Linked DNA regions of Oryctolagus cuniculus. The protein of the gene in region 4 purifies or fractionates together with the protein of the main gene of each other region. This does not show direct contact. Links are inferred from orthologs where the notes say so. Each region holds a gene or a part of one and is shown on either strand. Other genes may lie near its edges.

Region 1 (4,047 bases), on a different chromosome or scaffold from region 4:
AGACCTCTTTCAGCAGGTTCCCACAATGGCAAAGCCTTTTAAATCCCCCACGGCTCTCCTCCAAGCTATTACCTTTCTTTAATGTCTGCACCTCTTAGCTCTGTTGCTAATGTGCTCTCTTAGAAAGACCTCCCGCCGCATCAGTTGCTGCCTGGTGCTGAGCGCTGGTAGAATCCCATGTGTTCATGATGGTCGCCCCCGCCACCCTGGGCTGAGCTCGTGGGCAGCACCCTGACAAACACAGCTTCGTTGCTGCCTCCTCTTACGGGTGCCTGGGAACACACTCTGCTGCACCGTGTTCTGCTGGCGTTGTACTTGCAACCCCAGGAATGCCCGACCTCCTAGGCATGAGTATCACAGAGTATCTCGGCCTCTTTTCAAAAGATTCAACGAAACTTTCCACAGAATGGTCTGGGCTCTTGTATTGAAAGCCAGATCTCAAAGGGGAGATGGGCTGGAATAAAAGCCAACCCCAACCCTTGCCCCCATACAACCTCACCACCAATGTCTGTCTATTAAAAAAGTCCTGCAAGCTCTAATCTATGCCTTCCAAATTGAGGGCCATTTTAATCCCTCTGAAATGATTAACTGCTATTTTGAAAATAATTATAAGAAAGAACTGAAGTTCTGAATGGGCCACACATTTTGGAATCACAGGTTATTAATACACAAATAGATGTGAAAGTACTCTTACACTAAAAGGCATGTTTCTACTTGCAGACACACAGCCATTTATCTTGCAGATCAGCTCATAACCACCCAGGTCTCATTCCTGGCCAGTCTGGACTTGAGAATGCATTGAGATCAGTTGTGAAAATGCAGAAGTGAAGTCAACTTCCTCCTATGTGCAGTGCACTGCTCAGAAAAAGCACAGAGCAATCACCCAAAATGAGATCCCGGACTGAGTCACTTGAGTATTTAAAATGCAAAGAACTGGTAAGAGGGGCTGAGAGTAAGAACTGAGTTAACCTGAAATATCAGCAACTGCAGGCAGGCCCTGGCAGGAAACCGTTCAGCTCACTGTATGCACTGCTTCCAAGGAAAGTAGTTCGTGTTCTTACAAAAAAGAGATGGGAACCACAATCCATTCAATTTAAGCAGTGAGCCAGTACTCAAAAAACAAACAAAAAAAAAAACAAAAAACAAACAAACAAAAAACCTCCCAAGTCACAAGTTCATTATGACCACTTAAATTTCCCTTCCACCAATCCTGTCCCATCTGTGGCTCTCCAAGCATTTACTTTCCTATTACTGGTTCCCAGTTCACCAAAAAGAGTTTGTACTTATTTCCTCAACTGTGCAACCAAGATGTGAAGCCCCATCGTCCCGGATGCGGAAATGAGGCAAAGGGACTGACCACAGGCCACCAAAAATTCGAAGCTAGAATTCAAGTCCTTGGCTCATGTTTTAAAGGTGCTCTGGGGGAGGCGGCTGATCGTCTTCCACTGATTCTGCTCTCTGACAGTGAAGGCTGCCTTGGAAATCAAAGCCCGTCTTTCACAGACAACGGTAAAAAAGAGGTTATCTAAGAACTTCATAGATTCTGGAAGCAGTGAAGTGTGTAACCGGCCAAGGATTGCCACAGAAGAAATCACAGCCCAGGGGTCTTGTATGAGAATTTAAAAGGCCAACAGGCAGATAAAGGCTGCGGGGTGTGCGGGGTGCAGGCTGCAGAGAGAGCCCGACACTCTTGGAAGAGATAAGGAAAGGGTGTGGGTGCAGGACTATTAGCTGTGCTTGAGACATGTGTAACAGAACGGCCCCTGTCGCTCGCAGGAGGGTTCGGGAAGGGAAGCTAGGGAGATGGCTGCAAGGCTGGGTCTGCTTTCCGTCCCCCCTCGGGCTCCCTTTAGGGGTGGGGGCGGGATGGAGAACGCCGGTGGCGATCTAGGCTTGCATCTTCTTCCCTCCTCCAGTCCTGGGAATTCCTGAAAACTCCTTCCAGCCCAGTCGCAAACCGGCTCTCTCCGGGTTCAGAACAATGACGGGGACACGGAGGGCAGTGGGCTCCTCGGGCTCCAGTTCCGGCCCGAGCTGCCCTCACGTCCCACAGGTCCCCTGGCCCTCGGCACGCACACTCCGGTCCACTCGCAGCTTCCGCATCCCTCCTCCGAGCCTCACCCCACGCATCCCTGCCCCTCACCCGCCGCGCCCAATCGCCTCCCACGTCTCTCCGCCGGGGCAGCCCCTACACACTGCCAGGCCTCCCAACTCCCTCCGCCAGGCCCGGGGGGGAAGCTGGACAGCACCGGGGACTAGCGGGGGTCAACTCTGCCTTCCACGCCGCCCCAAACCCCAGCCCCGGGGCGCGCGCTCACCCGGCGGCCGCGTTCTCGAACTTGAGAGCGAGCGTCTCCTCGATGATGCGGTTGTTCACCTCCAGCAGGATCATGGCGGCGGCTGCCCCGGACAGGGGAAGGAGAAACAAGGGCGGGTCAGGGTGGGTAAAGGAGGAAAGGACGCAGGGAGCGGCCCTGTGCCCCCTGAGAAGGGGGGCTGGGTGGGGTAGGTGACGGGAGAAGGGGAGAGGGGAGAGGGGCCGGGGTGGAGAGAAGGGGAGGACGCGCGCCGGCCCGCGCACGCACGGACTGTGGAGACACCCACCCACCCGACAGACCTGGCCCCAGAAGCCTCAACCCGCCTGCCGAGCCGCCGCCGCCACCGCTGCCGCCTCACCGACAAGCCCGGTCCCCGCCCAGCCCCCGGCTCTAGCCGGCCACTTCCGCTCTCACACCCACTTCCGCTCGCCGCCCGGACGCGCGGCCCCGCGGCGCCATTTCCGCTCCGGCTCCCTCGTGCACGCGCACGCAGGCGCGCCCGGGGTGGGGCGAGGCGGTCACACTTGCGCATGCGCAAGGCCTCCTACCGCTTTACTTTCCCACTGAAGCGCCCCACCCCCGCCCCATCAAGTCTCCGCGAGCCACCGAGCGGTCCTTCCCGGAACTTGCCTCCCGCTTGTCCCAGAGTTCCAAATCCACTCTTCCGGTTCTGTCATGTCAGGGGTCCTGCAAGAAGCTCGCTCTTATCTCGCGGCAGGATTCTTTGCTGTCGGCCTGTGCGTCGTGGAGGCTCCTCCTCATTCCAGACGGGTGGCAGTCCGTCGCACCATCGTGCGTTCATTTCCCCAACAGATGGTGGGCTCTTGTCCTGAGCCGCGAATGCGGAAGTGAACACGGTAGACAGGGTCCTGCCCTCGTGGAGCTTATACTGTGGTAAAGGAAACACAATGAACAAATGATCAGTTATGTTGTTTAAAGGCACCGAAGGAAAGGGATGCATAGTCACCTCGGTTAACAGGCAGTTCAGATGGGCCTCCCTGGACCCCTGTGCTGCCTCCATTTCCGTGCCAGGGGCTGCCCCTGGATGCGCAGAACATAATTTTCTCTGCCTCCAACCCTCACCTTTCAGTGCCCCCGCGGGAGACATAGCTCCTACTCATCTGCCTGCGGAATCTGAACTGATCCTTACACCACGTCTGCACCTTCTGCCTGTGTGCCTTGATTTGCATTTGTCCTCCTCCAGAGGAAGTGTAACAAGCTTAGTTGAGTCCCTTCTACATCAATGGTTTTTTTCAGTTATGTGCTGGTGCGGGGTGGGGTGAGTGGGGTGGGGTAGGGACGGGACTGGATCCAAAAAATGAGCAAAGATCCAGCCTTTATCGTCAAGGGGTAGACAGCTTTTAAAAATAGATTTCTTTTTACAGATTTGTTTATTAATTTGAAAGACAGTTTGAGAGAGAGAGATTTTCCATCTGCTTGTTCACTCCCCAAATGGCCACAACAGCGAGGGCTGGGCCAGGCTGAAGCCAGGTGCCAGGAGCTTCATCTGGGTCTCCCACGAGGGTGCAGGGGTCCAAGGACTTGGGCCATCTTCTGCTTTTTCCCCAGGAACATTAGCAGGGAGCTGGATGGACAGCGGAGCAGATGGGACTTGAACCAGTGCCCGTATGGGATACTGGTGTCTCAAACTGTGGCTTTACCCTCTTCTCACTATACCACAATGCTGGTCTCTAAAAATAGATTTTTTTTACGTACAGGCCTTGGATAA
Region 2 (2,927 bases), on a different chromosome or scaffold from region 4:
CACCCTGGGAGGCGGAAGCGATGCTGAACAGTTGTTGAGTCCTGGCCACCCCCGTGGGGGCCTGCATTGAGCTTGGGCCCACGGCAGGACTTGGGAGTGAAGCAGCAAATGGAAGCTCTCATTCAGCTTCTTTCTCCCTCTCAAATAAATACTTAAAGAAAAGAAAACCTGCTGATGCTTCACGCTGCTGCTGCACCCAGCAGAGCCGGAGCTGGGAACCAGGGGTGTTCAGGCCCACCCTCAGCGCAGACCAAGTGTAGTCACAGACTGAAGACCTGACTGATCATCAAATGCCTGGCTCTGCATTCGCTTAAGTGAGCTCCAGAGTGACACCCAGGTCAAAGGAGTGAGGAACAACAGTTACTGAGCAAACCTCTCAGCCGAGGCTCGCAGCGGCCAAGCAGGGACACTCTCGAGCCCGTCCAGAGTTCCTGGAACAGCCAAACTCTCTCGTTCCCATCCCATCCCACCCTACCTTTCAGAGACAAGACACCGCGATGTGTATACTAAGAAGCCAAGAGCTTTATTGATGCAGCAGGCACTTTACAACGAACCCGAGAGCCCACCTTCCCGGGAGGTCAGGGGTCTGTACAAACTCGGGTTTTCCCACAAGCTGTCCCTTTCACCACAGCCCTTGGGTCTGCACCTGCCCAAACCATCCCTCCCCCAGCCTCAGCCAGCAGCACGCACAGCTCCACCTGACCAGTGCTGGCCAGCCTCTCTGTCCGGTCCCAGTGCCCGTTCTGCAGTACTGTGTAGACGAAGGCAAAAGAGACGATCAGGTCCTGCAGAGGATTTGGGAAACAGACGATTTCTCCCTCCACCTTGAAAATAAAATACACTTCAGCGGCCACGAGTCCTGGAAGAGTCGAGTCGGGCGCTCCTAGGAAGGTGGTCCATTGTCAGTCCCTTCTGCACCGGCCTGGGCATCCAAAGTTCTCGAGGTAACAAGTCCTTTGACTTTTAAACAGTCTTTCTTGCTGTAAGAACTCTAATAATGGAGCCTAGTCCTCCTACTGCTAAGGCCTGCGGAGCAGGAAAAGGAAATGTGTCAGGTGAGACCTGGCTGGCCACGACGGGCCCACGCCCCCCAGCCTGACCGCATGTGCCGACCCTCGGAGAAAGGACTCCTGCGACGTGACCACCGCCTCCGGCAGCAGGAGTGGCCCGGGCCCAGGCACCGTGCACGCCCGGCAGAGCCACAGTTCCTCTCTCAGCAAGTCCCTCGCTTCCAGGCTGCCAGCGCTGCCCGAGGCACAGGAACGCACACCGGCCCACTGGAGTGGCCTCCACACCGCGCAGGGGGACTGCTCGCCCCGCCCCCAGCGCCTGACCCCTGTCAAGGGGGCATGCGGGGCAGGGCAGTGGGCACGCAGGCCTGACGGAAGGCACCCAGGTGAAGAGCGGCAGGCGGACGAGGCCATGGTAAATGACTGTCGTGTTTGCTGCCCACTGCACGCTCTGGCCTGCTGAGGCCGGGGCCAGAAGCCCTCCAAGCTGGCGAGGAGGCTCAGCCTTCATCCTAGGACCACCCCACTCACCCAGCAGTTGACTCCACCAATGCAAAGAAAGTACCATGACGCGCCAGCCAGCCAGGAAGCATCCCTGCCACTCCACACCACGCCTGGTCACCTGCACCCATGGCACACAGCAAGGGCCCCCTGTCCTGCCTGGCACAAAGCAGCAGCTATAAAGTGAGTGTACCAGAGACAGCAGAGCCCGACCAGGTGCTTCCCTGGGAGGGGGAGGGGACCAAGGGTCCCAAGTGGAGGCTTGGCCCCGGCTCTCGCAGGGCGCCTGCTGAAGCCCGGGGTGAGGCAGGGGCTGGGCACGGGGCCGGCATGTCCACGTACCTTTTCATGCCACTGAAGCAGCACTGCACTGCTGTTTTCCGTGGGCTTCTCAAACCCTTTATAAATGTACTTCATTAACAAGTCGATGCCGTTTCTGTCCAGAGACTGCACCGCCTGCTCAATTTCGCTGCTTTTGAAGTTAGTGAGCACCTTCAGCACCACGCCCTGGGCTCGCTCCTGCAGAGGAAAGAGCGCGCGTGAGGCCCAGAGCCACAGCCGGGCCCATCCTTGCCCCACTGTAGGCACAAGTGGGAGGAGCTCGCCAGAAGCACTGCCCAGTTTCTAACTCGATCTAGGATCAGACAGCTTTTTAAAAAAAGTGGGCTAAGATTCTCCCACTGGCTCAGAGTACGCAGTACTGCCTGTCGATGACCGAGTAACTGAGTTCCTCCACTTCCCATGGAGGAGGTGCTTTCCTGGGCAGGCGCCAGCAAGGCGCGAGGCCCCACAGGATCGGACGGTGGAGGAGGAGGTGCCCCTTCGAGAACACAGGCTGACTCGCTGCGGCCCCCGTCAAGACCCACGTCCCGGCATCGAGGAGGCCGCAGCCAGCAGTGTAATCTGTCCTCTTTCCAGGCCGTGTGAACAGGACTCTGAGAAGCCGTAAATTCCCTGTGCATTCAGAGCCCACAGAAGCAGAACAGGGCCAAGTCCCCGGAGGGAGGCCCTCGGGAGCTGCACACACTGACGGGGCCCTGCCCCGCCCCTTTACCTTCACAGCCTGGTTCTTGGTGTTGACCGGAGAGTTCCGCAAGGCGGCGTGGAACGCCCGAAGCATGTCCCCTGTGCACCAGCATCCGTTAAGGTCAGCCAGGCCAAGCGTGTCCGCGCGCACCGTGGGCCCAATCCGAACCGCTCCGGGGCGCTTCACGAGGATCCCGAGGCCCAGCTGCTTCACAGCCTGGAGCTGCCTGAGCCCCAGGCAGCGCCTCTCTGCCTCCCCACAAAGCAGCTGCCCCTAAGGGCCAACTGCAGTGAGGTCCCAGGGGCCCCGCCCAGCGCCCCACCTGCCCCCACCGGGCACTCACAGGCCTCTCTCATCTCTCTACAAAGGGAAGCAGGAAGGCACAACCG
Region 3 (4,080 bases), on a different chromosome or scaffold from region 4:
GAAGTGGAGCAGCTGGGACTCGAACGAGTGCCCATATGGGATGCCAGCACGGCAGGCAATGGCTTTACCCACTATACCACAGTGCCGGCCTCCGTATCTTCTTTAACATTTAATTTTAGAAGAATAATTATAACTTCAGATACCTAAATAAAATCAAGGCAACTCTTCATGTCTAGAAGTAGTAAACACACACACACATACAATCTAAGAGGTTTCCAGATGTGTAAATTTTCAGAAACATCACAGCATTCCTGTCATATGGTTCACTTTGTTAAAAAAAAAAAAGTTTATATATTTGAAAGGCAGATAGAGAAAACTTCACTAGTTCACTTCCCAAATGCCCCCAACAGCTGGGTCTCAGCCGGATGGAAGCCAGGAGCTGGGAACCCCTCCAGGTCTCCAACATGGATGGCAGGGACCCAATTACCTGGGTGATCACCTGCTTGCTGCCTCCCAGTTGTGTACCAACAGGAATTGGTATCAGCAGTAGAGCTAGGACTTGAACCAAGGCACTAAGATGTGAGATGCAGGCAACCCAGGCAGTGGCCTGAACAAGGTACCAAATGCACCTCTGACATACTTTATCAAAACTGTTTCTTCTTTGAAATCAATCATATCTATAAAAAAACCTAGACAAAACTTTAATCAGAAGCATAACACCAAACACATCAGTTTTTATTTGGATTAACTATATTTTTTTCATTTGTGCAATAACTCATCTTTTGTGTTAAGGAACAGGATTTTTAAACTATGAACTAGATACAAGACTAACTGACAATATACACAATCAGCTTTTTAATGTGAGCTAAACAAAATAGTAACATAAAAATTAGCTATGGCTAACATTCCCATTCTAACATCAAAAGCTCCCATATTCTATAAATACATAAAGGATTCTTTATCTAGAGCCACTCAGAGGAATCCATATAAATATTATTGGATAGAGTTTCTAAAAGTATTTGACAGTCACAAAACAAAGTATTTTAAATTTAATTTTTAAAGCTTTAAATTTTTAAATTTTCTTAGAACTTGAGACTAAAATGGAAATCAAGCTAATATTTTTCTAAAAGCATCTTTAACTGAGTATTAATTGTAAAAATAACATGTTTATAGTTGACTTCATTTAAATATAGTTTAGCAACATCTGCTTTAAGAAACATTTTCCCAGTAATTCAGAAGGGTTGTGAAGTTTTCCCTGTCTTTCTTAACTCCCTTATTCCTTGTCTCACAGGCACCATTTCTTATGTCTCCCACCAAAACTTCAACACACAGGCAGAAGTTTGTGGACAGGTAAGTATTTTTAATGAAGAACACTCACGTAAGTGGAATCATAAACTTGTCTGTAATTTAACAGTAAGTCTGTCTTTAGATACATCTCCATAGCAGTGCATCTGCCTCCTTTTTTAAAGTGTTTTCTATGGACACGCCATTGTAACATTCTTACTGTAGTACTAAATACTCAGATGAAGCCAGTATAATTACTGCTTGTAAAAAATCTAATAAATTCAGTGCAGGGCAGTGGCAGTTACCTCAATGCATACCAGCTTTTTTTTTTTCCCCCGTTTCCAAAGTATTTTAAAGTTCAAGTAAAATCTATTTTAAGTCATATGTCGCATTTACGCAAGGGAGGAGAGAAAAGTCACAAAATGTTGCAACACAAAAATAGTTTCGGCAATCACCACAGAACTCATAAAAATAAGTAAGCATCTCATTTGCCGACTTTGCTACCCAAAATGCATCTTTTAAACGTTTTTAAAGCAACTTTCAAATGGTTTCTAAATCAGTGCTTTACGTTTTTACGGTATTTGAAAACTACCATCATCTGTATTCTGAACCTAATGGAGGAAAATGGGGGCGGGGACTGAACTTCCCCCAGGTCAATGGGATTAACACTTGGGCTCGCCGGTCCCAGATCCCCCAAAGTCATCCAACAGAACACGCTGGTCTCTGCAGGGCTGCACCTGAGCCAAACTACCAGCATGGAGAACACAGGGCAAACGCTGTGCTGTTGGTCTAGCCGCCTCCTCGCTCCGAGAAGAAAGAGGGATAACACCAAAGCAAACCAACAAACCAAAGCAAATCAACAAAATGCAGCAACACTGAGAAAGGGCCGTAGCCCCCTGAATGACAGCACTTCCCTTTTCTTCAGTGAGCCCACTTCCTGCCTCGCGTTCCGCATCTTCAACTAGACAGGAAGAGGAAGGCCTCTAGGTGTTTCTCCATTCTACACACCCGCGACCCTGGGGCTGCAGCCCCTCTCCCAAAACACGAACCCAGCCTCTAACCCCTTCCGCACTCGAGCCAAATTGCAAACCCCACCCCTCTCTGTGCACGAAGCCGGCCCCCGCGGGCGGCAGGTGGGACCGGCGTCCCGCCCCGGGCTCGCCCACCGCCCAGACCCGCAGGGCTACCGGGAGGGAAGGTTCTGGAGAAACCAGCGCCCCACCCGCTCGCTCCCGACACCCGCACGAGCGGGGAGTGCCGCCCCGTTCCCCTTAGCCGCGAGGGCCCAGAGGTGCCGCGCCGAGGGCCTCGCGACGCCTGAACATCCCCGCCCAGGCCTGTGGCCGCCGCGGCCTCCCGTCCAGGCGCTTACCCCGGTGCCGTTGTCGCACACCACCACCTTCCTGCCCTGACTGTCCATCGTCCGTCCGGAGGAGAGCCGCCGTCGCACAACCTACAGCCGCCGCCGCCCTGCTCTTGCCTCTTCCTCCTCCTTCACTGCCCCTCCTTCGCCCCAACTTTCTTCCCCCAACCGGAAGTCTTCGCCGGTCCCGCCCGTCATTTAGCTGACCGCCTGCGCGGAAGGGGTGGGACGGAACGTAGAAGGCCGCGAATGGCAGCTGTGTGCACCAATCATAAACAGAGAAGCGCCGGGGCCCCGCCCGAGGGCCTGGCTAGGGCTCCGCTGTCACGGATGCGGAGCAGGCAGGTCTTTCTCAAGCTGCGTCTGGTGTTCGGTGTTTCGTGGGGATTTAATGGCGGCGGAAGTCGCGGAAGCTGCGGCTTTCTCCCTAAGGTGTGGCATGGATCAAGGGCGCTGTTTAACGGACTCTGGAGGACGCAGAAAGGTGGAAGACACCGCGTGGAAGACATCTCCACGAGGAGGCCGTGGAGGGTGACGGAGGGGCCATCCGGGGCGGCTGGAAGCAAACCCGGAGGTCCTTGTGAACCCCCTTGAATATGGCTTAATTAGTGCGTCGTTGCCGCTGGACCCATTCAGTGCCCCGAGCTGGGATGGATATACCCACACTTCTTGGAGCTCATGCATTTGCTACCTCCACAGCCTTCCCGAGTCGTCTACAGTCGACTAGGTGCCTGCATTCGCAGCCTTGTCGCCCACCACTTCCTCCTCCAGTAGCCGCAGGTTGCTTCACCCCTCTTCACTACGCGTGCCTGATCGAACCCAGAACCTGGGCTCTGAAATCAGACAACCCCAGTTTCAGATCTGGCCCGACCATTCACGAGTCTTGTTGGACAAAACCTGGTCTGTGCATGGTAGTAATACGTCTGTGGGTTGTTGTGAGGATAGAATTCTGTGCCTAGAGGACACGTTCATTCAGGGGTAGCCATTTATTATTAATCCTGTACTTTTGAACCTGTGGGTCTCCCCACCTATAATGTCCCTACTTTCTCTCTTTTTAACCAGTTGTCAAACTAATACTCATATGCTAAGCTTGTCCCATCTCTGACTCCTTTGCTGGTACCCCAAGATGTTCTTTACCCCTGCCTTTGCTATTGCTTTCCCATGGAGTTGTGAATAACATCATTGTGTTTATTACACACAACAAATATTTATTGAATGAATGACGTTAAAACTCATAGAAAGCATTGCATCATTTTTGAGAGATGAGAACTAAAATTGTGACTTCCACATGTCTACACATCCAACAACTAGAATTGGATCACACGTCTCCCCCCAATTATTTTAGTAATAGTAGTAGCAGCTGCCTATCAGTTTCACCTTGTTCTTTTATTAGACCAGTGGTTTTCAACACTTCTAAAGGCATTGAGTGTTTTGTTCATATTTAATTTTATTTGGAACCCCAACACATAAAATTGATTAAAAATAAATAAGTA
Region 4 (3,500 bases):
CTCTGTAACTCTGACTTTCAAATACATAAATAAATCTTTTTAAAAATTGCATATTTAAAAAAAAGATTCAAGCTGTCCTAGCACACACAACGGGTGGTATTTGGGGTCGGGCTTAATTGAACATCCAAAGGGAGTGGAGGGTGGGGCAGGGCCTGATTGCCGCCCACTTCTGTGCCCTTTTTTGGATATATTGGAAGTGTCATGGCATGAGGTACGTGATGGGAATGGGAGTGTCCCCCACGGTAAGTAATTTGATTATAGTGACATTGTAATGGTCCACAGATGTTTGACCGCATCCTGCAGCCATATTGGATCGTTCCAGCTGGTGCTGGTCCTAGATTTGCAGCGTTGGGAACATGGAAGATAAGATTCAGGGGCATGGAAAGGAAAGGGGACTTGGGTGGTACATCTCGGGCCATCACTCGGGCTGTCCTGCCGGAAGTCGGCAGAGCTGTCACACACTGTGCAGGTTGGCTGGGGCTAACCTCAGCTCCTCTCTCCAGCTGCCTACCTTCCCACGTCATTTAGACGTGATACACATCTGTAGATTGCTTGGGGACTGTTGCTTGATGTGTAGATAAGCTATAATGATTTTCTCCTCTTGCAGGTGGGTAAGCAAACACATTAAAAAGCCAATACGCTCCACAGTCCTCAGCCTGGACTGGCATCCAAACAATGTTTTGCTGGCAGCAGGATCGTGCGACTTCAAATGCAGGTGGGCATGAGGGGAAGCTGATGGACTTGCTGAACATTGCTCCTCCTTCAGCGGGCACCGTGAGGGGCCCACGTGACAGGAGCTCGTGGTCCAGAAAAGGAGCCGTGCACAGGGACTAAAGCAGCGAGTGTGCACGTCACTGATGTCACTGATGAGGAAGGAAGCGGATGTGGAAGTGGGGGAGGAGGGAGATCAAAGGTGGGGCGGGGACAGCTTCCCTGGGCAGAATGTCCGTGGTTTCCAGTGTAGGGATAGGACGTGCAGACATGCTCTCTGTCGGTCTCTCTCTGTCTCCCTTCCTCCCCTTTTCTTCCTGTATGGCTCCTCTACAGCGTTATTTCTCCTTTCATACTCCAGGCAACAGAGTGCAAATTCCAGAGTGAAACTAAGATGAACAGAACAGAGCCAGACAGTGCACTGCTGAGCGGTTCCTGTGCTGTGCTGTCCTTGTCCTGGAAACGTGTTTGTTGTTAGCCTGAGGCTGGAGGCGAGGCAGCCACTTTGCTAAGAGCTTTAAGGGTCCTGTCGGGTAATTGCTTTATCAGGAAGGCCTTTCCGCCCACCCGTTAGCTGAAGAAAAGCACGGAGACGATGCCTCAGGTGGACTGGACTCCAGGGTGGGCGGGAGATAGGACACACCCTGAACCTGGCCGTGACTTGTATCCAGGGATTCTCAGGTTTTCAAACAGTTCCACGTGTGAGTGGTTCCAGGGGTGGGATTATGGTGGTGACAGTTCACTTCATATTCTGCGGTTTTGTTGGTGGTGATCTCTCTGCCAGAGTCCTTCTGACTCCCTTAGAAAATGGGAGGAGGTGGCACTGAACCCACCGTGTGGATTCTTGGGATCGACTGAAACGCCCGGTGAGGGAATAGGTTGCAGTCTTGTTGAGATCGATTTCCACAAATGGAGCTGCTTTGACACGGTCCTGTGGGGCCTGTGGGGCCTGTGGAGCCCGTGGGGCCTGTGGGGCCTGTGGGGCCTGTGGGGCCTGTGGGGCCTGTGGGGCCTGTGGAGCCCGTGGGGCCTGTGGGGCCTGTGGGGCCTGTGGGGCCTGTGGGGCCCGTGGGGCCTGTGGGGCCTGTGGGGCCTGTGGAGCCCGTGGGGCCTGTGGGGCCTGTGGGGCCTGTGGAGCCCGTGGGGCCTGTGGGGCCTGTGGGGCCTGTGGAGCCCGTGGAGCCCAGGACCACAGGTCCCTTCTCGGCGCTCGTGACAAAAGCGCTGCTGTTGTGATGCTGATGGGAAACGCAGATGCGATCCTGGCAGCATGTGACAGCATGGCGTTAGACTGACAGCTGACGCGCCAGCCTCGGCCCGTCTCATGCTGTGTGTCTCCCAGAGCTCCCACTGTCCTTGTCATCTGGGGTGGCGGGCACCCCCGTTCTTGTGGGAAGTTTTCAGGTTCAGAGGGGGTGAAATGCACACAGCAGCAGAGCATTGGTGGGCAGAGGGCCAGATTCCTTTGTCCCTTTCCCTTTCACGGAACAAAGAGAGAGAATTTGAAAAAGCCTGGTGACACCTGACTGTAGGACCCACCTTCGTCACAGAGGGTTCCGGCCACGGCGCCGGCCAGCACTGAGAGTTCTAATGAGTCAGCCTTGGGGTTCTGAGATACTTAGAGTGGCCTATTTGTATATACATGTATCTTCATCTTCTTTTTCCTTCCTTCTTTGCCCTTTGAATCACAGGGTGTTTTCTGCCTACATTAAAGAAGTGGATGAAAAGCCAGCCAGTACACCCTGGGGCAGCAAGATGCCTTTCGGCCAGCTGATGTCAGAGTTTGGGGGCAGTGGCACTGGTGGCTGGGTCCACGGGGTCAGCTTCTCTGCCAGTGGAAGCCGCCTGGCCTGGGTCAGCCACGACAGCACCGTATCCGTGGCCGATGCCTCAAAAAGCGTGCAGTGAGTATTTGCCTTTTGTTTGGGAGGTGCAGGCAGTGGGTGGGATTTCTCGCCCACCAGGCTGGGGCTGCCTCTGTCTGGTTGTACACACGGGACACAGGCATAGGAACCCCAGTGCAGTGTGCCAGGCAGCCTTGCAAGGTACACACACCCCAGCCTTAGATGAAACAGGACGTGTGTTCTTACCGCGTGCGGTCAGCCAGCAGTGACTGTTCATGGGGGCTCCCCACTTGTGTGTGCCGGAAGAACTGGAGGTGTGATGACTCACGGGTGACGGGGAGCCGCTCTGCCGTAGGCACCTCGTGGGGCATCGCAGCTCACGTCTGCTCACCTCGCGTCAGGGCGGGGGCGTTGGGATGCCTCTCGCCCTGTGACTGCCCTCCCTGGGGTCTTGGGTGTCTAGGGCCAGTCCCGCCGGGTGCAGCACAGACATGTTTCAGGGATGATGGCTTCTTCCTAACTGAATTGAATGTAGTTTTTTGGTTAATTTCATGTTTGTTTTTTTAAAGATATTATTATAAATGTGGTCTTCCAGAAGATTTCTGTACATTTCTAGGTTACATCTTTTTTCATTTTTTTCTAAAATGAGTACTTTATTAAAGTTTATTTTTTTGAGAGATGAGAACTCCCATCCACTGGTTTACTCCCCAAACGCCCACGAATGTCAGGGGCCAAAGCTGGAAGCCGGGAACTCAACCCCGGTTTCCCCCATGGGTGGCAGGAGCCCCACGGCTTGACAGGCTGGAGATTGCCGAGGGCCTCAGTTTCTGGGGGTCACCCCAGGGCCGCCTTGTGCTTGAGATTCCTGCGAGTCGAGGTCACGGGGCTCCTGGGTCAGCAAGCGTTCACTGGTGCTGTGGGGCCCCCCGGAGAACGGGCGCTTTG
Region 5 (3,500 bases), on a different chromosome or scaffold from region 4:
CAGATCATGTCCAAGTCTAAGGGAGTATTTCCTAGCTGTCCTTGGAGTCGCGACACACAAAAAACGACTGGGAGTATAAACAACTGTCGGCACTCTCCCGAGCTTAATCCATTACCTTTTGGAGTTTCTTTAGACACTCAGAGATGTAGAGAGTTATATATATCAGGGTCCTGTCGGCTTCATTCTACAGAGAGGAAAAGAACATTCAGCAAACAGTACAGACGAAAACCTAGCAGTTCCGTCCAACAAATGGAATCAATCTTCATCTCCGGATGATCTACTGAAAGCCTGGACTCTACTTCCCCTTCTCAGGTTCAGGGCACACACATATACTGCTGCGGCACACGAGGCCCCTTCTCCCAGTCAGGCTTCCCTCTGTGCACGCGGGCAGGGCCAGGGCTTCCACCCGAGCTCTGTGGAGGCTCTTGTTCTCAGCTCCCTTCACCCCCGGTCCCGGGGAGCTGTGCCAACAGCCCCTCACCCTGCGTAGGAAGGAGAATGAACAAGGCTGCCTGAATAACCTGAGGTGCACCATATGGCTGGCCAATTTTTAAAAACCCTTTCATTTCAGGATCTCTGCCAAGAACAGAAACATTCATTACTCTAAAAGAGGAAGCAATTACTTCACGTGTGACATGTTCTTGAAGAACTCCCTAAGCCTGGCGTCCTGAGCTAAGCAAAAGGAGAAGTGGAGAAGACGAACGGATGTTGATCCAATGTGGCAGACGTGAGATCACATTTTGCTCGTATTTATAGCTGAAAAAACAAAAAGAAACCTACACGTTTCCCTGTTTTTAAGACCAGGAAATAAAGTGTGGTAGAATAATATTTATTTACACCTACTACAAACACAGCATGTGGGCCATGTATTTGACAAAGAAAACACTCTGTTAATATCACAAAATGTTTGGACTACAATTTATAGATCAGGAATCTATAAATAAAGATTTTACATCCTGCTTGATTTCAAAAGGTCAAAGTTGGCAAGGAGGAGGCTGAAGTTCATCTCACCGCCGTTCCTGGTAACCTGGAGAGCAGAGCTCAGGAAACCTGGTTTCCATTTTCCCTCCTCCTCGTCCGTGACCCTCCCCTTCCTTCCCTCGTCACAGGAACTGAGGAGAGAGGGGAGAGTGGGGCAGGACCAGGGTCGCTCAAGTCTCTACTTCCCCTTCTCAGGTTCAGGGCACACACGTATACTAACAAAATTACACAGCCAGGAGGATTTCTCACTTGTGGGCTAATGCTACCCACCAGGCCTGGCACACAGTAGGTGCTAAATTAATGCTAAAATGTCTTTACACCAGAATTGGCAAATTTTCTCTACAAAGGGCCAGAAACCAAACAAGTTAGGCTTTGAGGGCCAGGCTGTGTTCCAATGACATTTTATTTACGAGAAGCCATGGGCCAGATTCAGTCCTCAGGCTGTAGTCTGTCAACCCTGGTACAGACTTTGGAGGAAGAAAAAGAAACCAGTATCTTCACAGAATCTAATACCAGACAGTGTTCTAGAATTTAAGAATCACAATTTCACATCGCATTTTCTCTTCATGGCAACTCATTGCAGTGTAGAGATTACCCTAATCAGAAAATTAAAGTGAAATATTAAAAGCTCTGTCATTTACCTTAATTTCATAGTTTTTGAAGAAGACATTGGCCTTGAAGTAATAGATGGCTTCATCCACAATATCCGTATCTTTTGCTAAGCAGGATAACAAGGGGAAGGAGGGAAGAAAAAATCAGTCAACTGCAAACTGTAATTTAGCCTGTAAAAACCATAAAAAAAATAAATCCAGGATCAACTGTCAACAATTCTATAGGTGAATAAAATTAAAGCAGGGAGCACATACGTGGCACAGCAGTTAGCTACTGCTTGGGACGCCCACATCCTGTATCAGAAGGCCTGTGTCTCTCCATTCTGCTCCCTGCCTTTTCCCGGGAGCGGCTGGGTCCCTACTACCCTCAAGGGAGACCAGAACTGAATTCTAGGCTCCTGGCTTTGGCTTAGCCCAGTCCTGGCTGCTGCAGGCATTTGGAGATGAAACACAGCACATGGGAAATCTCTCTCTGCACTTCAAATAAAAAAATTTTTTTAAATGAAGCTATTAAAATAAAACCTGTAAAACAATTTCTAGAAAATAAAGTATGTAGTTAATTTTTATTTCTTAAGATTTGTTTGGCCAGTGCCGTGGCTCAATAGGCTAATCCTCCACCTGCGGCGCTGGCACACCGGGTTCTAGTCCCGGTTGGGGCACCGGATTCTGTCCCGGTTGCCCCTCTTCCAGGCCAGCTCTCTGCTGTGGCCCGGGAGTGCAGTGGAGGATGGCCCAGGTGCTTGGGCCCTGCGCCCCATGGGAGACCAGGAGAAGCACCTGGCTTCGGATCAGCGCGGTGTGCCGGCTGCAGTGGCCATTAGAGGGTGACCAATGGAAAAGGAAGATCTTTCTCTCTGTCTCTCTCACTGTCCACTCTGTCCAAAAAAAAAAGATTTGTTTTATTTGAAAGACAGAGTTAGAGAGAGGTGGGGGGGGGGGGTGCGGGGGAGGACTTCTATCTGCAGGTTCACTCCCCAAATGGCTGCCAACAGCCAGAGCTAGGCCAATCTGAAGCCAGGAGCTTCTTCTGGGTTTCCCATGTGGGGTCAGGGGCCTAGGGACTTGGGCCATCTTCTACTGCTTTTCCAGGCCACAGCAGAGAGCTGGATCGGAAGTGAAGCAGCGGGACTTGGACCAGTGTCCATATGGCACTATAGGTGGCAGCTTTACCCACTATGCCACAGCGCCAGCACCAGGTTTTTTTTTTGTTGTTGTTTTTTTATTTAAAGATTTATTTGAAAGAGTTACGGGGGTAGGGGAGAAGGAGAGAATCTTCCACCTGCTGGTTTACTCATCAGATGGCCGCAACAGCCAGCTGGTCCAGGCCAAAGCCAGGAGCCAAGAGGCAGGAACTTCATCTGGGTCTCCCATACAGGAGCAGGGGCCGGTGCTCTTAAGGGATGCTGGCACTGCAGGCTGTGGCTTTACCCACTATGCCGCAGTGCCGACCCCTTAAGATTTTTATCCTTTTATTTATTTATTTATTTAATTTTTTTGACAGGTAGAGTGGACAGTGAGAGAGACAGAGAGAAAGGTGTTCCTTTTGCCATTGGTTCACCCTCCAATGGCTGCTGTGGCCAGTGCGCTGCGGCCGGCGCACCGCGCTGATCCGAAGGCAGGAGCCAGGTGCTTCTCCTGGTCTCCCATGGGGTGCAGGGCCCAAGGACTTGGGCCATCCTCCACTGCACTCCCAGGCCACAGCAGAGAGCTGGCCTGGAAGAGGGGCAACGGGGACAGAATCCAATGCCCCAACCGGGACTAGAACCCGGGGTGCCGGCGCCGCTAGGCGGAGGATTAGCCTGTTGAGCCTTGGTGTCAGCCCAAGATTTTTATCTTGAGAGCGTGTCTGGAGTTCAATGAGTATCTTTTTTTTTTTTTTTTGACAGGCAGAGCGGACAGTGAGAGAGA
Region 6 (3,500 bases), on a different chromosome or scaffold from region 4:
GACACGCCCCGGGCACTCAGCCCTCATCATGGCGTCCACCCCTCCGCGTGGACAGACACGCCCCGGGCACTCAGTCCTCATCATGGCGTCCACCCCCCACGTGGACAGATGTGCCCTGGGCACTCAGCCCTCATCATGGCGTCCACCCCCCAACGTGGACAGACGCGCCCTGGGCACTCAGCCCTCATCATGGCGTCCACCCCCCGCGTGGACAGACGCGCCCCGGGCACTCAGCCCTCATGGCACCCACCCCTCCACGTGGACAGACGCGCCCTGGGCACTCAGCCCTCATGGCACCCACCCCTCCACGTGGACAGATGTACCCTGGGCACTCAGCCCTCATCATGGCGTCCACCCCTCCGCGTGGACAGACACGCCCCGGGCACTCAGCCCTCATCATGGCGTCCACCCCTCCGCGTGGACAGACACGCCCCGGGCACTCAGCCCTCATCATGGCGTCCACCCCTCCGCGTGGACAGACACGCCCCGGGCACTCAGCCGTCATCATGGCGTCCACCCCTCCACGTGGACAGACACGCCCCGGGCACTCAGCCCTCATCATGGCGTCCACCCCCCAACGTGGACAGACGCGCCCTGGGCACTCAGCCCTCATCATGGTGTCCACCCCCCGTGGACAGACGCACCCCGGGCACTCAGCCCTCATCATGGCGTCCACCCCCCACGTGGACAGACGCGCCTCGGGCACTCAGCCGTCATCATGGCATCCACCCCCCGCGTGGACAGACGCTTCCTCTGCTGACGCGCCCTGGGCTGTACCCACCACAGTCAGAGGAAACACTTCATGGTTTCTATTGCTTGCTTTCTTTCTTTCACAAAGTTTTAAGATTTCAAACTTCAGGATTATGTTTGCTGGATAAATTTAAGTGTGGAAATCAGACCCCGGTGCTAAGAGAAGGCCAGGCTAGGACGCCTCACTCTCATTCCCACCCTGACGGACGTCACTGGCAGTGCGCAGGTGCACGGCCGAGCACGGGCCTGCGGCGGACGGGCGGGGCTCACCTTCTCGTGCCACTGCAGGAGCACGGCGCTGCTGTTGTCGGAGGGGCTCTCGAAGCCCTTGTAGATGTACTTCATGAGCAGGTCCACGCCGTTCCTGTCCAGGGACTGCACGGCCTTTTCTATGTCGCCGGCCTTGAAGGAGATGAGCACCTTCAGCACGATGCTGCCTGCCCGGTCCTGGGGGAACACACGAGGCAACAGAGTGACTCCTGAGTGTGCGGCTGCACCTGCGCAGGGGGGGCCATGCTGGGGAGGGGAGCCCGGGCGGAGGCCCGCAGGCGGGAACAGGACAGCGCGGTGTCTCAGGAAAGCAGTCAGGCCCAGAGGGGGCGCGTGCTGCCAGTGTGCCCAGGGCCTACGGCAGAACCGCAGCGGGGAGCCAGAGGGGCGCGGAGAGGAGGCTCATGCGACCGGCGCCCCCCCCCCCCCCCCGAGAACGAGGAGGGTCTGAGAGCACCGGCAGGAGCAGGGAGAGCTGGCGGGAGCGAGGGCAGACAGGGTGGACAGGCTGTGTCGCTTAGCACTGCAGGGCCCGAGGGTAGACAGTCCACAGGCAGAGCCCACAGCGATCTGACAATTTATTAAAACATCAACTGCATTTTATCTCAACGAAAACACAACAAGAAAACTGATTTGCAATTCTTCCTTGAATCATCTTTCAGAAATACTTTTTTTTTTTTTTTTGGACAGATACAGACAGTGAGAGAGACAGAGAGAAAGGTCCTCCTTCTGTTGGTTCACCCCCGAAATGGCCGCCACGGCCGGCACGCTGCGCTGATCTGAAGGCAGGAGCCAGGTACTTCTCCTGGTCTCCCATGCGGGTGCATGCCCCAAGCACCTGGGCCATCCTCCACTGCACTCCTGGGCCACAGCCGAGAGCTGGCCTGGAAGAGGGGCAACCAGGACTAGAACTTGGCGCCCATATGGGATGCCGGCACTGTAGGCAGAGGATTAGCCAAGTGAGCCACAGCGCCAACCCCCAGAAATACTTTAAACACTTCCTTATTTTGAAATTTTAAGAGACTGTCTCACGGCCCGTAGCCGCTAGTCACGCGAGGTACAATGGCGTTCATTACACAGCCGTGTTTTCTGGAAAAGCTGCTCCAAAAGCCACCTTCTGCTCTCCTCCACTGTCACACAGGACATCTAAGGTCACCTTCTCCCCTGTCACACACAGCACATCTAAGGTCACCTTCTCCCCTGTCACACACAGGACATCTAAGGTCACCTCCACTGTCACACAGGACATCTAAGGTCACCTCCTCCCCTGTCACACAGGACATCTAAGGTCACCTCCTCCCCTGTCACACACAGCACATCTAAGGTCACCTCCTCCCCTGTCACACACAGCACATCTAAGGTCACCTCCTCCCCTGTCACACACAGGACATCTAAGGTCACCTCCTCCCCTGTCACACACAGCACATCTAAGGTCACCTCCTCCCCTGTCACACACAGCACATCTAAGGTCACCTCCTCCCCTGTCACACACAGCACATCTAAGGTCACCTCCTCCCCTGTCACACACAGCACATCTAAGGTCACCTCCTCCCCTGTCACACACAGCACATCTAAGGTCACCTCCTCCCCTGTCACACACAGCACATCTAAGGTCACCTCCTCCCCTGTCACACACAGCACATCTAAGGTCACCTCCTCCCCTGTCACACAGGACATCTAAGGTCACCTCCTCCCCTGTCACACACAGGACATCTAAGGTCACCTCCTCCCCTGTCACACACAGCACACCTAAGGTCACCTCCTCCCCTGTCACACAGGACATCTAAGGTCACCTCCTACCCTGTCACACACAGGACATCTAAGGTCACCTCCTCCCCTGTCACACACAGGACATCTAAGGTCACCTCCTCCCCTGTCACACACAGGACATCTAAGGTCACCTCCTCCCCTGTCACACACAGCACATCTAAGGTCACCTCCTCCACTGTCACACACAGCACATCTAAGGTCACCTCCTCCCCTGTCACACAGCACATCTAAGGTCACCTCCTCCCCTGTCACACAGGACATCTAAGGTCACCTCCTCCCCTGTCACACACAGCACATCTAAGGTCACCTCCTCCCCTGTCACACACAGGACATCTAAGGTCACCTCCTCCCCTGTCACACACAGCACATCTAAGGTCACCTCCTCCCCTGTCACACACAGCACATCTAAGGTCACCTCCTCCCCTGTCACACACAGCACATCTAAGGTCACCTCCTCCCCTGTCACACACAGCACATCTAAGGTCACCTCCTCCCCTGTCACACACAGCACATCTAAGGTCACCTCCTCCCCTGTCACACACAGCACATCTAAGGTCACCTCCTCCCCTGTCACACACAGCACATCTAAGGTCACCTCCTCCCGTCACACACAGCACACCTAAGGTCACCTCCTCCCCTGTCACACACAGCACACCTAAGGTCACCTCCTCCCCTGTCACACACAGCACATCTAAGGTCACCTCCTCCCC

What was found.
Region 1: the proteins of ARPC1A (region 4) and ARPC2 purify together in Homo sapiens (affinity purification with mass spectrometry; 8 studies listed by BioGRID and IntAct, counting the BioPlex papers as one, with this or other methods). This does not show direct contact. The link is inferred for Oryctolagus cuniculus from reciprocal best matches to the Homo sapiens genes ARPC1A and ARPC2.
Region 2: the proteins of ARPC1A (region 4) and ARPC5L fractionate together in Homo sapiens (co-fractionation; 7 studies listed by BioGRID and IntAct, with this or other methods). This does not show direct contact. The link is inferred for Oryctolagus cuniculus from reciprocal best matches to the Homo sapiens genes ARPC1A and ARPC5L.
Region 3: the proteins of ARPC1A (region 4) and ACTR2 purify together in Homo sapiens (affinity purification with mass spectrometry; 9 studies listed by BioGRID and IntAct, counting the BioPlex papers as one, with this or other methods). This does not show direct contact. The link is inferred for Oryctolagus cuniculus from reciprocal best matches to the Homo sapiens genes ARPC1A and ACTR2.
Region 5: the proteins of ARPC1A (region 4) and ARPC3 purify together in Homo sapiens (affinity purification with mass spectrometry; 8 studies listed by BioGRID and IntAct, counting the BioPlex papers as one, with this or other methods). This does not show direct contact. The link is inferred for Oryctolagus cuniculus from reciprocal best matches to the Homo sapiens genes ARPC1A and ARPC3.
Region 6: the proteins of ARPC1A (region 4) and ARPC5 fractionate together in Homo sapiens (co-fractionation; 8 studies listed by BioGRID and IntAct, counting the BioPlex papers as one, with this or other methods). This does not show direct contact. The link is inferred for Oryctolagus cuniculus from reciprocal best matches to the Homo sapiens genes ARPC1A and ARPC5.

The regions. Positions count from the first base shown.
Region 1 is NC_091434.1:21,132,611-21,136,657, forward strand, and holds the start of ARPC2 (actin-related protein 2/3 complex subunit 2), read right to left. Parts: upstream 2,801-4,047; 5' UTR 2,618-2,800; intron 2,401-2,617; 5' UTR 2,393-2,400; coding exon 2,319-2,392; intron 2,312-2,318; exon of another isoform or gene 970-2,311; intron 856-969; exon of another isoform or gene 73-855; intron 1-72. UniProt on the Homo sapiens protein: Actin-binding component of the Arp2/3 complex, a multiprotein complex that mediates actin polymerization upon stimulation by nucleation-promoting factor (NPF).
Region 2 is NC_091432.1:228,725,046-228,727,972, reverse strand, and holds the end of ARPC5L (actin-related protein 2/3 complex subunit 5-like protein), read right to left. Parts: intron 2,639-2,927; coding exon 2,566-2,638; intron 2,031-2,565; coding exon 1,854-2,030; intron 1,671-1,853; exon of another isoform or gene 1,576-1,670; intron 1,027-1,575; coding exon 964-1,026; 3' UTR 501-963; downstream 1-500. UniProt on the Homo sapiens protein: May function as component of the Arp2/3 complex which is involved in regulation of actin polymerization and together with an activating nucleation-promoting factor (NPF) mediates the formation of branched actin networks.
Region 3 is NC_091433.1:137,510,510-137,514,589, forward strand, and holds the start of ACTR2 (actin-related protein 2), read right to left. Parts: upstream 2,801-4,080; 5' UTR 2,645-2,800; coding exon 2,597-2,644; intron 1-2,596. UniProt on the Homo sapiens protein: ATP-binding component of the Arp2/3 complex, a multiprotein complex that mediates actin polymerization upon stimulation by nucleation-promoting factor (NPF).
Region 4 is NC_091450.1:41,594,033-41,597,532, forward strand, and holds part of ARPC1A (actin-related protein 2/3 complex subunit 1A), read left to right. Parts: intron 1-607; coding exon 608-715; intron 716-2,402; coding exon 2,403-2,615; intron 2,616-3,500. UniProt on the Homo sapiens protein: Probably functions as a component of the Arp2/3 complex which is involved in regulation of actin polymerization and together with an activating nucleation-promoting factor (NPF) mediates the formation of branched actin networks.
Region 5 is NC_091452.1:8,108,968-8,112,467, forward strand, and holds part of ARPC3 (actin-related protein 2/3 complex subunit 3), read right to left. Parts: intron 1,700-3,500; coding exon 1,623-1,699; intron 185-1,622; coding exon 116-184; intron 1-115. UniProt on the Homo sapiens protein: Component of the Arp2/3 complex, a multiprotein complex that mediates actin polymerization upon stimulation by nucleation-promoting factor (NPF).
Region 6 is NC_091444.1:1,519,249-1,522,748, forward strand, and holds part of ARPC5 (actin-related protein 2/3 complex subunit 5), read right to left. Parts: intron 1,198-3,500; coding exon 1,021-1,197; intron 1-1,020. UniProt on the Homo sapiens protein: Component of the Arp2/3 complex, a multiprotein complex that mediates actin polymerization upon stimulation by nucleation-promoting factor (NPF).